Linked DNA regions of Elephas maximus indicus. The protein of the gene in region 1 interacts with the protein of each later gene in a pairwise test. Links are inferred from orthologs where the notes say so. Each region holds a gene or a part of one and is shown on either strand. Other genes may lie near its edges.

Region 1 (8,287 bases):
AAGAATGAACAAATCTCTTTCGGAAGAAGTACTGCCGGAATGCTGCTTAGAAACGAGAATGGTGAGACTTCATCTCATGTACTTTGGACATGTTATCAGGAGGGACCAGTCCCTGGAGAAGAACATCATGCCTGGTAGAGGGTAAGCAAAAAAGAGGAAGACCCTCAACGAGATGAACTGGCACAGTGGCTGCAACAATGGGCTCAGACATAGCTATGATTGTGAGGATGGCACAGAACAAGGCAGTGTTTTGTTCTGTCGTACATGGGGTCGCTGAGTCAGGACTGACTTCACGGCACCTAACACCTACAGCAAACATCAAGTACTCCAAAGAAGCGGAATATAAATGAAATTTCCAATCTTCTAGACTCCAAAGATGCTGAGAAGTCAGCATTATTTCTTCCTCTATACTTTAACAGCACTTCGCAGGTACTTATATCACAGTTTTTATTACACTGCGTATTTCTTTCATCCTCATAACTAGTTGTTTGCATATCTCTCCTCCACTAGCCATGAGCTTCTTGGAGGAAAAGACTAATTCAGCTTTTTAGTTACACAGACCTACACTCTCAAATTTTAATAAATCCTAGCTAAGTGAGTGGATGAGTGAGTGAATTAATGATTAGGCAGTACCCAGCAATGCACCATACCTGCTCTTTTATGTTTGCAGAATAAAGCAGCTGCTGTTTCTGTGGCTCCTGTTTGTTTAGAGGAAAGGAAGTGGGTAGTTAAAGGTCCTCTTCTCAGTAGAAGTCAAGTGGTACAGGTAACCTCTGCCTCAGTCCTTGCTACATACTGGCAGCTCCTAGACCCTCCATTTAGAGTGCCAGTGATGCTGGCAGGGCTACACCTGGGGCCAGGTGCCTCCTTCATGCCACTCCACAGAAGAAAGGAAGGTGCTCCTAGGATGTTTTTGCCTGCTGAAAGCTAAGGGGGCAGGGAAGAGCCCATATCAAATGCCACCCTGAAGAATGTCCCCCATACAGTGAGGGTCATCATGTTAGAGCTGTCTGTGAATAGCCCCTGGGACAGTAGAAAAAACGTTTTCCTCAGGTGGGAACCTACCTGCACGATACATGGAACTGGACTATGAAACTGAAGATGGAGGGAAAAAAAACTAAAGTTTTACTCTTAAAATACTGTGTATTAACAGATGTCTAAAACTGTTCTAAATAAGTCTGTTAGAACAGCCTGCTGTTCCTAACCATGAACACCTTGTTTAGAACTACCCAGTGGGACCCAACCCAGCCAGAGTCCTAGAGGAGGCCAGGACTGTAGGGCACTAGAACAGCAGGGCTTAAAGACAAAGGCCTGTGCCTCCCTGCGATTCCTTGGTCCTAGCTATCCATGAGTGTGTCAGGGAAGCCCAACAGTAGGTAAGAAATGTTGGGAGTGTGTGTGTGTGTGCATTGGTGCAAATGCTGCTGCTGCTCACCACCCTCGCTGCAGGAAAGTCCTGTTTTGAGACAGACACTGGACTAATGATGTTATTGGAACCTGTTTTACTTTATTAACACTCCCTTGACTATCCCACTAGGCAAATATTAATACCAAAGCAGTGGGATGTAACTGATGTAAGGAAGGGACCTAAAGGCTTACTCCTCTTAACTATTTTAGGTTCTTGGAGAGCAACATGTTTCTCCTGCGAGGTGTATGCAATATTTACAGTAGGGATGAATTCAGTGTGGACCACGCGACAGAAAGCTCAGTCCTTGGTTAGTGACCAGTCTGACTCCTTCACTTTTTCTGTCTTCTCCTTATTCTCAAGCAGATCGATTTCAGCCTGTGGTTCATGGAACCTGGGCATATGACAGCTCAAGAAGTTGTCTGTGTGTAATGATAGTGAACATCAGGAAAAGACGAATGAATATCGCCAGATGATTTCACCATGGGGCTAATTTGGTCTGAAGCTAGATCAGGAACCAAGTGGTTAAGTTTGATTGTCTACCCCTCCCAATTCCATTTCCACTCTGGCCAAATAAGCTTCCACTTACCCAAAAGGCTACCGAAAGCTAAATCGGAACTGCCACACCTGCCCCTGACTCCTATCACTGCCACCTCACACCAACAACCATCGCCCAAAAGCTGCCACAGCTGCCTTCTGGCTTCCATAGCTGGACTGGCCACGCTCTCATGGACTCTCAGACATCAGGGGCAAGAGAGCGCCAGTGCAGCACCAAACGTCTCAGACCAAGGCTACTTCCTTTTTTCTCACATACACATCAAATAATTCACTCACATTTTGAGAGGAAAATCAACACCAGAATCTTTCTAGTTCCACCTCCACATTTTTCCCCCAGCTTTTCAACTGCGTCTTCAGCTGTTACTGGCATCATGCTGAGTCTTCAGAATCCTTCCCTGGAGGCTGTAGAATAAAATCTAAACTCTGTACATAACACACAATGCCCCGCTCATGATGTAGCCCTAAGCATCTCTCCTAGCTTTAATTCTCTCTTCGTGCAGCCACGTACAATAGTCACACCAAAGTGGCCCTGCCAATGTGCTCTGTGGCGTCTTCTACTTTTGTTTTGACGCCCTGTTGAGGTTCCTACCCTTGCCAAGGTCTACACTCTGACTGCCTGTGATGTATGCACGCAGTGCCTAGTACCTAGGAGGTGCCACTACTAATTCCTTCTTGCTTAGAGTCCTCAGACAAGGTAAGGCGTGTTCCCATTAAAACAAGCCTGTTATCCCTTCCTAGGGCTTGTACTCCAAATCCCTGTCCAATTTTTCCCCCAACAGCTGAGCTAGACAATGAAGTAACAGATGTCAGCGTCCCCTAACTAATCCACAGTGGTATAACCAGAACAGTGGTTACCTATAGCGGTGGGGATTGACTGGAAGAGGGCACAAGGGGACTTTTTAGGTTGACAGAATTGTTCTATATTTTGATTGGGGTGTTAGGCACATGAATGTATATATTTGCCAAAACTCATTAGCCAAGTCTGTGATGTACTGTGCCGTGTCACAGAGCAACGAATAGTCTCCAAAGTGGGATGCACGCGACAATCTCATGAAATGTGGAAAGGAAATATTTAGAACGTTTTTCTAAATTTTTTTCCTTTTCATTTTTTTTTTCTCATTTCATTTGAGAATATAAAAGGGACCCACCGCAGGGTGGACACCACATTTATCTTGCGTATTCTCCACCAAGCGGAACAACCGAGGTCTGGGGTGTGGGCAGCATTCCAGAGAAGCAGTGAGTAGACAGGAAGGAGGCCAACAGGCAAGTAAGCCTCCATGGGGAAGAGCAGCATGCCATGACCATAGGAAACCAAGTGTAGAGCAAGCTTTATTCCGCGTTTCACTCTCTGAGAAAGGGAGAGGGCTTTGCAGAGACCACCCTCCTCCAGTCAAAAGTGCAGACTGAACTGTGAGTGCCATGCGACATTCTGCAAAGGATAGCAGTGGAGGGTCTTCTCAAGGCCTCTGAGCCAGCCAGGCCCCAGAGCAGCTGAGATGGTGATGAGCTGATCTGTTTGTTCACAGAGACACATGCAGACTTGTTGATCAGTTGATCAGGGTGGTCAAAGGCAGGCATACCTGTAAATCCAGGGTGAAGACAGCGCTTCTCTGGCTGGCAGGTTCAAGAGAGCACAGGACAATGCCTCCATATTCCATTGTGCCCAGGCCACTGCCCAGGCCGGCCTCACAGGTCACTAGAAGACTCAGCAGGGCAGGGTGCCTAGTAGTATACCCCCTTCACTCTGCTGGTTGGACAGGTGGCCAGAAAAGACTGACTGACTTCTACTCCCAAAGGAATCGAGAAATCCAGAGGCAATACCCTGCCTAGTCCATTAATCAGAATACAGTTTCCATTAATCTAGCCAAGACCAACATGTCGTTAGATGCCACTGAGCCGATTCCAACTCACTGTGACCCTATGTGACAGAGCAGAACTGCCCCGTGGGGTTTTCTAGGCTATAATCTTTATGGGAGAAGATTGCCAGGTCTTTCTTCCGTGGAGCCGCTGGCTGGGTTGAAGCCGCCAACCTTTCAGCTAGCAGCCGAGCACTTAACGATTGTGCCACCAGCGCTCCAGACCCAATATAATGGTTGCTTAAACAAGGATGAAATTCATACTTCTTGCACATAAAAGTCCAAACTTGTACGGTTGCTCTTGTCTGTGACATTGTCAGTCTCCTAAGTTCCTTCTGTCTACTTGCTCCACCATCTCTAGGGTGGTGCCCTCATTTACATGATCCAAAATGGCCACAGGTGGCCAACTAGAAATTGATTACTATGGGAAAGAAAGGGAAAAATTGCTTTGGGGACAGCCACTTGTCTCTGGCACACTGAGACAACCACCAAAGTCCAGCCCTGTGGCATGAAACCAAAGAAAAACAAAAAGGAGCATCTCATAGTATGTAGAAACAAAACAGCTTTTTATATACTGCAGATAGCAGACTTAAAAATCAGGCTTTTTGAGCTCAGAGCATTGGATGCCAACAATCCATAGTTCTACAGTAGCACGTGGAAAACGCCAGCCAGGCTGTCTGTCCTGAACAACACAGCACACATCATACATAAATGCGGTGGTACTCATGGCCACGGATTTTTTTCAAACAAACTGGACAAGTTTTAGTATATTTCAGGGAATTGCGGAGGCACTGACTACAGAAGATGTGGCCACATTCTGTAGAATAGATGCATCTTCCGCTCTGTTCAATCTCTGAATACCCATCCATGCAAATTCGACAGCAGATATAACCAGGTAGCCGGCAACGTAAAGCTTCTTCTTCCAGGGCATTGTGGTGGACACTGTTGATCACATACACATCTCTGTCCCTCATCAACCCCTCCTCATCACTGCTCACCACACAGCTGCCAATTTGGCCTTCAAGTGGCCTTGCGTTTCTCCTTGGCCTCCTCCTTTCTTCAGTTATCACAACAGAGTCATTTTGAGTTAGATCAATCACTGTGGGTTCTAAAGATTCACAGGTGAGGTCTACTACTTCATCCCTATCACTTTCCCTGAGTTCTATCAGTTCTGCTTCCAATGCCATCTCAGGGGTTGGGCCTCCTATCCCAGCCCGCTTATGGGCTTGTCTGGAATTGACCATGCTACCACAGCACATTCTTGTATTCATTGTGCTTTTTGGATCCAGCCTTCAAAGAAGTAAGCAATTTGTTCCAAAGTTTACAATGAATGTTAAAGTCCTCAATGTCTTGCAACTGTTGTTATGGTTGCATTTTGCAGCTGGCCTACATAAGAATTTAGAGCCCAGATTTTCTAGTATCTTTGAGCTCTGATCCTGGTTCCAGTCCTCTGTCTTCGCCTCCACAACTGATGTGCTCCCACAGAGGGTGACTCTTCTGGGAGCCACTGATAAGACAACTCAATCTGAATTTTTATCTGAAAAAGTGAGAGAAAAATTGAAGTTTAGTAATATTTAAAATAAGATTGATAGTAATATGTATAAATACATAGTTATATATATGTTTATAATGTATATTAAAAAAAACCTTTTTGATAGTCATGCATTTTAACAAAGTTTGGAGACCACTGCTCTCGACGCTGAGTGCCCCTCCTTACTACATATCCTGATGGTAGTGAGGAGAAGGAGAAGCTCAAGGGGGACTTTCATGAAGAGAAGCACCAAGGAAGGGCCACCACTTCATCCAGGAGCCATTATGGGGATCTCAAGTAAAAATGGAGAATGCAAGAAGCTCTTTGCACAGTTGAGTTTTTAATAAGAAATGAACTATTCAGTCCACACAGAGGTTCATCTTGCCGAGGATTCACTGTCCAGCAGAGGCAACTATGGAATTTTTAATTAAAGAGTTTTATCCCAGATTCTGTTCTAGGGAGGAGGAGATGGAGTTTAAACATGAGCCACAGAGAGAGACTTGGTTTGATTCTGGGCTCTGTGCCTTTTGGACTTGTGACTTAGAGAGTTATTTAAGTTCTCAAAATCTCAGCAGGTAAATCCTTTATAAAAACTAATTCTTTTTGCAATTAAAAAAATAATGCAGATACATGGTTAAAAAAAAAAAAATCACAGTGAAAGGTATGGCTCCCACCTTGGATGCCCGCTCCCCCAGTTCTTCCCAAAGGCAACTGCCATTACCAGCTTATTGTGTCTCTACCAGAGACATACGGTAATAATGCATACAGAACATGTATTACTTTGATATACTTTTTATATATAAACTCTGCTTAAAATTCAGAATTGTGATCAGAAGCTGTACCTACTGTCACCAATAATATTTTTAAGCTACATTTTGCATTCTTTTAGATAAATATATTTTAAATAAATAAGACACTTTATTCCACATATATTAAAAACAAAACAAAAAACCCCAACCTCATAGGGAGCTATGAGGAACAAACGAGAATTTCTAGCACATTGGCAAATATAAGGCAAAAATGTCATCTGTCCCCCACTTTGGTAGTTGTAGTTGCCTTGGATCACCCTAGTCATTGGCTTTTATGACTTCCCCCATCTCAGTAAGTTTTCCCCTTTTAAGATTTGAAAGGAGAAAAATTTACTTTATTTTAGAAAGTACCAGTTGGGAAGCCAAACAGGTTTCCAACTAAGTGAACCAGGCCATTGACAGTCACATACGCCAAGGCTATTCTATAGAAGCGCCGCCAGGAGAAGACCCAGTGCCTTCAAGGATACTACATGAAAAGATGAAGCTGGAGGATTTAGTAAAAACCTCAGGAAAACAAAAGCCACCAAGGGCAGCTAAACAGAGAAACCCTGGGCACGCCCACATGCACTGCCCATGTGCTGGATTCTGGAGTCAGGCCTGGCTTGGAATCAAAACTCTAGCTCTGACTGCCTATTTGACCCTGGTGAATTAGTCTCTCTGAGCTTCAGTCTTCTCATCAGAAGGCATAATAACACCTTCCTTCTAGAATGCTAAAAAAAAAAAAATGACATAAACATGTAAAGCCTCTAGCACCAGGCAAAATCTCACTCAAAGGGATTTTTTTCTTTTCCGGAATATTTTATTCTGCTTTAGGTGAAAGTTTGGAGACCTGGTGGCTCAATGGTTAAGAGCTACAACGAGCTATGGCTGCTAATCAAAATGTCAGCAGTTCAAATCCACCACCTGCTCCTTGGAAACCCTATAGGGCCATTCTACTCTGTCCTATAGGGTCACTATGAGTCGGAATCAACTTGATGGCAACAGAGGGGGGTTAGGTGAAAGCTTACAAAGCAAATTAATTTCCCATTCAATAATTCATACTCAAACTGTTCCACGACATTGTTTGCAATCCCCATAATGTGTCAGCATCTCCCCATCTCTACCCTGGGTTCCCCTTTCCATTCATCCTGTTTCCCTGCCCCTTCTCATCTTTGTTTCTGGGCAAATGTTGACCTTCTGGTCTCGTATAATTGATTGTTCTAAAGAGCACATTTCCTCATGTATGTTATTGTTTATTTTATAGGCCAGTCTATTCAGCTGAAAGGTGGCCTCCAGGAGTGGCTTCAGTTCCAGGTTAGAAGGCTGTCTTAGGGCAATAGTCTTGGGGGTTCCTTCAGTCTGTCAGACCAGTAAGCCTGGCCTTTTTATGATTTGAATTTTGTTCTACATTTTTCTCCCATTCTAAAATTAACCAGGGTCCTCGGTTGTGATCTCGGTAAAAGCAGTCAGTAGTGCGTAGCTGGACACCATCTAGTGCTTCTGGTCTCAGGTTAGAGGAGGCTGTGGTTCACGTGGGTCATTAGTCCTTTGGGCTGATTGCTTCCTTGAGGCTTTGGTTTTCTTTACCTTTCTCTAGACGGGAAGAGACCAATAGTTGTGTCTTAGATGGCCACCTGCAAGCTTTTAAGACCCCAGATACTATTCATCAAACGAGGATGTAGAATACTATCTTTATGAACTATGTTATGCCAATTGACCTAAATGTCCCCCAAGACTATGGTCCTTAGCCCTCAAACCCAGTAACAGCTCCTAGGGGAGTCTGGATATGTCTAAGAAGTTTCCATAACTGTGCCCCTACGTGCCATGTTATGTATATGAATATACATGCAGCATATACAAATATGTATATAGAAATATCCATAACTATACCTATTTTTTATACCTATATATATGAGTGTGGGTGTACTCCCGCACAACCTCCCACATCTATTTAGCATACATATCTACCTATGTACCCATTCACAAATAATTGTTTGCCATTACTGTTGTTGCAGGATTATATCCATTATAGGATTTACTGTCGTTGCCCTTTATTCTTGCGTACCTCTCAGTATCTTCCTTTGCCTTGGTCACTTTGTGCCGACTTCCCCTGTATTATGTATTGCCTTTCCCTTCACCAGAATTAATG
Region 2 (8,177 bases), on another chromosome or scaffold:
CACTCAGGACTAAGGCTCCCTTCTCCACCCCAGACCCGATGGAGAGAAGAAGGCATATGTTCGACTGGCTCCTGACTATGATGCTTTGGATGTTGCCAACAAAGTAAGCTTCCTCTTCTACAAACTCCCTAACACCCACCCCCTGGGTACAGATGATGCCTCTGTTAGTGACCAAAGCCTGATGTTTGGTGATGAGTCTTAACTGACTGACTGCACCCTATCCGTAACAGGCCTCGCCCTCGTTTTTTTTTTTTAACCATAACATTCCAACTTAATCTTCACGTTTCAGCTCTTAGTAACAAAGCTCCCTTTTGTTTTTCAGATTGGGATCATATAAACTGAGTCCAGCTGGCTAATTCTAAATATAAATTTTTTCACCACATATGCTTCTTGTCTTTGTATCTGTTTCTGGTTGGGCTGGGGTGAAGCCATGCTATGGTACACAGCTACGGGGCCTGGGCAAGACTCTTAAGTCTGCTTTGTTGCTATTAAAACACTCAGCCCTGACACCCCACCATACTCGTAACCCCTGGTGGTAGGAGCTTACGTACCAGACATACTTTGTGACCCAGATTAAGGTTAGCTGTCCTAAGACAACTTCACTGAGAGTTTTCATTAGCATCCATTACCGGGCAGTGTGTGGGTTGGCTGGCTTTCGGGTAGCACCCAGTCCCCACACACCCATCTACCGTGTCCAACCGGTCTGTCTGCTTCCCTCACCGCTTGCCCAAGAAAGGACAAGGACTTCAGAGGAGTGCTTTCATAGTATTTTCAATACCAGGTGCCCAAGGTTAGAGGTTGGTCACAAAGAACACCCCAGGCTTGGGGTGAAGTCCTAGTTGTTGTGTGAATTTGCTCTCCTAGGCTGTGTTTCCTGGCCTTGCCATGAGTCCCAGGCTCTGCTCTCACTCAGTCAAGAATTTGTCTTTGTGTTTCTGGCTGGGGACACGTTCAGGGCAGAAGTCAGAGCGAAGGAGGCGGGAAAAGTAGATGAGGATCATCACGTCCAGCATGAGCAGGATGCCCAGTAGAAAGGTACCCAGGTTCCTCTGGCCGGTGTAACGCAGGAAGAAATGGGTGAGGTAGGCCTGAGGAGCTAGGCGGAAGAGAAAGTACATGACCAGGTTGACATACTTGTTGACCCGGTAGAGAAGGAGATCCTGGGCATTGTTAATCTTCATCATCATGCGGATGGTAAGGAAGATGTTGCTGACCTCCACTAGTAGTGTTAGGACGCCCCCACCAACAAAGCTGCTCCAAAATATGCCTGAGAAGAAGGCACCCATGGCCTAGAAGGTGAAGAACAGGGGTTAGGGACCAGAGATGCCAAAACTTTCTTGGAAGTTGGTAGGAGTGTGATCACAACAGAGTTGGAAGCCCCCTCTTTCCTCCTGATGTAGTTAAAATGTCTTCTTCATTCAACATTAAACCTTGATCTCTGATCATAGGGCCTGGCACTGAGTGGAATTTCCAGCCTATTTAAGGAGGTGCAAGGTGCACTGGGGAAACCCTGGTGGTGTAGTGGTTAAGTGCTCTGGCTGCTAACCAAGAGGTCAGCAGTTTGAATCCAGAAGCTGCTCCTTAGAAACCCTATGGGGCAGCTCTACTCTGTCCTGTAGGGCTATGAGTTGAAACAGGCTCAACAGCAACAAGTTTGTTTTTTGGTTTAGGTGGGACCAAGGATTGCAGGCCTCAAGTGGGGAGCGTAGGGACAGTGCCAACCCTCAGCTTTTAGCATGAGAAAAGATGTAGGACAAGGGTAAGACCAGGGTTAAGAGAAGATGGCCTTCTCAGGTTCAGACTGGGTTGAGACCCAGTAGCCAGCACCAGGTCTATACCCCAGCCCCTGCTCACTTACCATGACGTGGTGGACAAGATATTCCCAAGAAGCTCGAGCCTGGCGGCTCACCACGATGTCTACCGTGTCGTGGATGAAATAACCTAGTGGAGGAATGGAAGGATAGGTCATGAAAAGGGCTGAAAAGCTTTCTTCTACCAACTTTGGCTTCCTGGGCAAGACCTACCTGCAGAGAAGCAGACAAGTAGATAGCCAGAAAGTGACCATGCCGTCTCAATCTCCACCAGCATTTCAGGGGTCTGCCATACACTGGAAGGGAGGAAAGAAGCGAGGCTCCCACCGTTTCGGCACTCCAAAGGGCCCTGGCCCTCAAATCCCCAATTACTGTTGGCAGTCCTGGGGGAGTCTGGGCCAGCCGCTCGCGCTATTGGCTGACTAGGGAGCAAGGAGGGGATTGGCCGAAACGCTGTGCCTCCGGTTTCCCAGGTGAGACTCCCCCTCCCCTGGGGCCGCTTCCACTCCTGGTTGGATAGGATTCCAAAATAGAGAATCAGGTGAGACTGCAGGGCCTCAGCCGCCCGTGGGCGATGAAGTAAAGCAAGAGCCAGTTTCAGCTCCCTGTGCACGGATCCCCTAGCTACCTTCAGTCCCCCAATCGCTTACTCACCACAGTAGCGCCCAGATTCCAGAAACTATGGAGTGAGCAAAGGAGACGAGCAGGTTGTGCCAGCGCCAGGTGCGCAGGGAGTCGGCACGCACGTGCGCGGGCAGGGGCAGGCGACAGAGCGCGCGCCGGAGCGCCCGGAAGGTCAGCGTGGCGCCCAGGAGCAGCGGCAAGGCGGGGTGCAGCAGAAGGGGCATACTGGCCCTCCCTGCCGTCTGTCTGCCCGCCTTCTTGGCGGCTGCCTCAGGTTGTTCGGGGAACAGGCTCCTTCTCAGGCCAGTCCGCCCCGAACACCTCTCCTGCCGCCGCCGGCCCTCGCGCCGGCCGCCAGCCTCGCACACTTTCCGCGGAGCCCTTTAGGCCCCTTCGCTCCGCCCGGCCCCTCCCCGCGCGGCCTCTGCCCCCGCCCCCAGCCGCCCGCGCCCCCGCCCCGCCCCGTCCGCCCGCCCCCGCTCCCCGGCGCCTGTGCCGCGCGGAGGGCGCGAGCCCCATTTCCCGGGCGCCTCCCGGGCCCCGCCAGGCCCCCGAAGGCTTCGGGCGAAGAGGGGCTGTCCCGGAGGCTCTGCTGCCGAGGCACCCCGCGCTGGCGCTTCCCGACTGCTGACGGAGTACGCTCCCGCCCTCGCTCGCTTGGCCTTATTAATCCGCGTCCCCACTTTCCCCGGGGCCACCGGCTTCCCCGCCCTGGGCGGGGACTGAGAGAAACCTCCCCACCCTCAACTTCTTTCTGAGCAAAGTTGGGCGGGACCTGTCACCCACGCCCCTTAAGCCCTGGTCCTGCGGAGGGGTCGGAGGCCCGGATCGGACGATGATTTCTGCACAGACCCTGTTCCTGCACTGGACCCACTAGCTTCTTCAGGCCAAGATGGTCGTGCTTACCTGCTCCTATTTCCCACCACCACCCCCCGCACCAAGTGGGTGCTTAGGAACTATTAACTCACCACCTCTTCTCCCAGCTGCTCCTGGGCTCCTGGGGCCAGGCGGCTGTCACAATCCTCCCTCAGACAGTCCCAGTCCTCTTCTGGCTCCCTGGAGGCTGGGGCGGGGAAGACCGACGCTTTGCCCAGGCTACTGGAGTGACCCTCATTCTCCAGCCCAAGGGCCTGGAGCAATTGCGGCTCGCGGCCACTAGGTGCCAGCCTGTCCTCATTGTGGCGAGGGCCTCCTGCCTTCAACGAGCATGGCAGTTGCGTTTTAGGAAAGTTAGACTCTGGGCAAAGGGAGGAAGCGGTTGAGCCCCGAGGGGGTAGGAAGGGACCAGGGGCTAGGGGAAAGGTGCTGCGGGAGGGAAGAGAAAGCCAGAAGTATGGGGCGCCAGAGACCCAGGGACTAAGCAGTTTGGGTGTTTGTTCTGCCTCCTCTGACAGCTCCAAGGTTACACATTAACCCCTGTGGGCCTCCTGGGTCAACCTCGGCCTGTTGGTTTCTAGGTGAGGGCACTAGTGTCCCGGGTGAACGGCTTTCCCTCTCTGCACTCCCCTTTGCTTACAGGGCAGCTTTGTCCACCTGCCTACAACGACCTGAGCCAGAGACTGAGGGGCTCTCGTGGTCATTCCATGCGCGTTGGTTTGGGGCGGGGACAGAGGATAAACACCCGTTTCCTCAACATACCTCGCTCACTCAGAAATAAAGATACTAACCTTGAGCTAATCACCATCCTCCTTCTTATGACTGAGATTTTCATGGAGCTCCCGCAGAGCAGGAGCCGCCGGAGAGAACCTTGAATTAAACTGACTTCCCATCAAGACCCGAGATGGTGATACCAGCCAGCACCCCCTACCTCTAGGCAGACCTTGCACCTATCCCAGACAGGAGTCCACCTATCTCCCATCTTCCCCCCATTAAGTTTTTTCTAGTTGAACGCTGAGGGCAGAGCACCCTGCTGCAGCGTTGCGTGTGTGGAGGGGACAGTTGAAGGATGCTGACAAGCGCGGTGCTCACTACTCGGGACAGACTGAAAACTGTGTCACATCCTCCCCAGGTGAATCAAACTGCACAGCTCGGGGTTTCCCCGGTCCCTCCCTAGGCAAACATGAAACTAACCCTGCTCCCTACCCCGCAGACCGAAAGGGCTGACACTCTCGGTTCAGTTTTGGTTAAGTATTTATCGTTTCCGTGCCAGTGCGAATCCGCCCTCTCCTTCTGAAATAACGTCACTCTTGGGCAGAGGGAGGTGGGTCCTCGCTTCCCACCCCCAGCTGGTCTGCGGAAGGTCAATTCTCGGGGCACGGTACCCTTCAGGTGTATCGAGGCTTTGCGAGGACTGGATTGGGCCACACGTGTGGGGAGCGACGGTACCGTGCTGGCTACAGCGGGGCGCGACAAACAGTGGGATATCACCCCATTCCCCGGACCCTGTGAGGGGCGGGATCGAGAAAGAAAAGCGCTCGCGTGCCAGGGTTGCCTGGACGGTGTAAATCAGCAGAGACGTGGAGGGGAACCTAAGTCTGAGCTCTACTTGCTCCGCCCCACAAATACTCACAGGGCGGGGGCGGGGCCTTAGAGTGGGCGGGTCTGCGCACGCGCTGTGTCTGTATGTGGCGGGGTTCCGGAAGTGTGGCTCTGAAAAATGAGATGGAGAAGTACGAGCGGATCCGTGTGGTGGGAAGAGGTGCATTCGGGTGAGCCAGGGGTCTGGGGGAGGCAAGTGCTTGGAAAGAGGGAAAATAAGCCCCAGCTCTGGCCGTGACGTCGCTGCCCGGTTAGCCCCGCCCCAAGACGTGAGCCCTCACTCTGTGGAGCCGCGTCCAGGTTTCCGGTCCCAGATCTGGCGGGAGGCTCCGCCCCCAAGGAGGCCACGCCCCTGGCAAGCTTACGCGCCCTCGCCGAGTTCTTCGCTGCGTGACTCATTCATTCAACAAACACTGAGCGCCAACTGTACAAGTCAGATCCTGGGACTGAGTAAACACTTATAACTAAAACTTGCATGATCCTTGATCTACGTCAAAGAATTTACAGACTATAGAAGCAAACTATACAATAAGCAAGACAAATTGTTAAAGGAGTTATAAAGGTATGGCAGTTAGGGAAGTTATTAACAGGCTGTAAGGAGAGTACACCACCAGGGAAAAAATTTATTAGGGTTTGGTCAAGGAAGGCTTTTCTGAGCTGTGAGGTTAAAGCCAAGACTTGAAGAATGAAGACCAGTGGTCGGAGAGTGAAGGCCTTTTCAGGCAGGAAACTGCATATGTGAAGATCCTCAGGAGGGAAAAAATTCAGAGCATTCAAGGAACTGAGAAAAAGACTAGTGTAGCTGGGATGTAGTGGGCAGGGTAGAGAATTTATAAAATGAGGTTGTCAGGGTGGACAGGGACCAGATTATGGCTTTGTAGGCCGAGGTAAAGGGGTTGATTTTATTTGCAGTATACGGGGAAGGAAGCCCCGGTGGCCCAGTGATTAAGAGCTCAGGCTGCTAACCAAAAAGTTCGCAGTTGAAATCCACCACCAGCTCCTTGGAAGCCCTATGGGGCAGTTCTGCTCCGTCCTTTAGGGTCGCTATGAGTCAGAAGTGACCCAGCGGCAACCTTTTATAAGGGGAAGAGTTTTAAGCAGAGGAAGGGTCTGAACTGACTTGAGTATTTAAAACATCACTCTGGCTGTTATGTGGAATTTAGATTTGAGGGTGACAAGAGCAAAAGGGACCATTTCAGAGGCTAGTGTGCATTTTAGGTAAGAGACGATGATTTGATCAAGCGTTATAGCAGAGGGCATGGAGAGAAGTGGATGGCGTCATGATATTTTGGAGGCAGAAACACAGGATTTACTGATGAGTTGGTGTGAAATGGAGGAAAGACCCTGGGATGATTCTCAGGTGTCTGACTTTAATAAGTAGAGGATGGTGGTGCCATTTACTGAAATGGAAAAGAGCCGGGAAGGAAAAGTTTTTGGGGGGGTAGGAAACAAGAGTTTTAATTTGCTAAAGTGTAGGATGGCTATGAGCCATTCAGGTGGAGATGCAAAGCAGGTAGTTGGATGTGTCAGTCTGGGGCTCAGAGGAGAGGTCTGGGCTGGAGATATAAATTTCAGACTGTTCAGCAAATATTTATTGAGCTCCTAATAAGTGCTAAACACTGGGCTATGCACTGGGAACTTAGGGGTAAACAAGGGGAGTGTAGTCCCTGCTATTATGGACATTGACCACAGACTAGAAATGAAATAATAATATGAATGGTTTGTACATATTGAGCATTTTCTGTGTGCCAGGAACTTGCTAAGTGCCTTCTCTGCGTTTTCTCATTTGATCTTAACAGCTCGGTGAAGTCGATTCTATATTATCCCTATTTTCCATATGACGATGTCACATAACTTGTCTAAGACCAGACAGTAAGAGGAGAAGCAAGGATTTGAACCCAGGCAGTTGACTCCAGAGTCTGTGGGAACTTAAAGCAAAACAAAACAATTGCCATCAAGTTGACCCTGACTCATGGTGACCCCATGTGTGTCAGAGTAGAACTGTGCTTCGTAGGGTTTTCAATGGCTGGTTTTTCAGAGTAGGCTTCCAGGCCTTTCTTCCAAGGTGCCTCTCGGTGGCCTAGAACCGCCAACCTTTTAGTTAGCAGCTGAGGGTATTTACCAATTTCACCACCCAAGGACTCTTATGGGAACTTATAGATCAGGATTACTTTTTCCTCATTGCGCCTGTGGTAAAACTGAGTTTCAGATAAGTTAAATAACTTCCCCAAGGCCTCACACCACGTTTGTGATCATTCCTCCCGTTTCTCCAGCTCAGTGTTTTGGGCCCTTGGCTTCCCATTGCTGTTGAGTCCATTCCGACTCATAGCGGCCCTATAGGACAGAATAGAGCTGTACCATAAGGTTTAAGAGGTTGAAACCTTTATGGAAGCAGACTGCCACATCTTTCTCCTGTGGAGTGGCTGGTGGGGTTCAAACTCCTGACCTTTCAGTTTGCAACTGAGTGTTTTAACCACTGTGCCACTGGGACTCCTTGGTTAGATGACTTCTTAGTCTGGGTCCCCGTTCTGCTCTTTTAAGGAGCTCCCAGGCACCAGGTTTGCCCCGCCTGACCCGAGCCCGCCACCGTACTCCGTGTCCCCAGGATTGTACACCTGTGCCTGCGCAAGGCTGACCAGAAGCTGGTGATCATCAAGCAGATTCCAGTGGAGCAGATGACCAAGGAGGAGAGGCAGGCGGCCCAGAATGAGTGCCAGGTCCTCAAGCTGCTCAACCACCCCAATGTCATTGAGTACTACGAGAACTTCCTGGAGGACAAGGCCCTCATGATTGCCATGGAATACGCACCAGGTGGGCCAGCCTCCTTGCATTGGCCTGGCTCCAAGGACCCCTTGCCTCTGGGACAGGCAGACACAGATTAGCCAGCTTCCTGCTTTGGGATGGGCTTGGCTGAGGGTCAGGGGTATAGAGTTCTGGTCCCAGTCGTGTGACCCAGGCCCCTTGCCCTCCCCGGCCTCAGTGTAGTATTCCATAAAAGAAGAGGTGCTGTCCTGGGCATGGAAAAGCCCGGATTCTGACCACCCTGTTGTGGTCATAGGTGGCACCCTGGCTGAGTTCATCCAAAAGCGCTGCAATTCCCTGCTGGAGGAGGAGACCATCTTGCACTTCTTCGTGCAGATCCTGCTGGCACTACATCACGTGCACACCCACCTTATCCTGCACCGGGACCTCAAGACTCAGAACATCCTTCTCGACAAGCACCGCATGGTAGTCAAGATTGGCGACTTCGGCATCTCCAAGATC

What was found.
Region 2: the proteins of TRIM69 (region 1) and NEK8 interact in binary tests that used the Homo sapiens proteins (3 or more experiments, as listed by UniProt). The two-hybrid records come from large-scale screens. The link is inferred for Elephas maximus indicus from reciprocal best matches to the Homo sapiens genes TRIM69 and NEK8.

What each region holds. Positions count from the first base shown.
Region 1 is NC_064828.1:11,406,697-11,414,983, forward strand, and holds the start of TRIM69 (E3 ubiquitin-protein ligase TRIM69), read right to left. Parts: upstream 3,451-8,287; 5' UTR 3,385-3,450; coding exon 3,112-3,384; intron 1-3,111. Other genes in the region: E3 ubiquitin-protein ligase RNF4-like, read right to left, coding at 4,521-5,090.
Region 2 is NC_064837.1:23,178,689-23,186,865, reverse strand, and holds the start of NEK8 (serine/threonine-protein kinase Nek8), read left to right. Parts: upstream 1-4,997; coding exon 4,998-5,083; intron 5,084-5,194; coding exon of another isoform or gene 5,195-5,312; exon of another isoform or gene 5,313-5,879; intron 5,880-7,454; exon of another isoform or gene 7,455-7,518; coding exon 7,519-7,724; intron 7,725-7,971; coding exon 7,972-8,177. UniProt on the Homo sapiens protein: Required for renal tubular integrity. May regulate local cytoskeletal structure in kidney tubule epithelial cells. May regulate ciliary biogenesis through targeting of proteins to the cilia.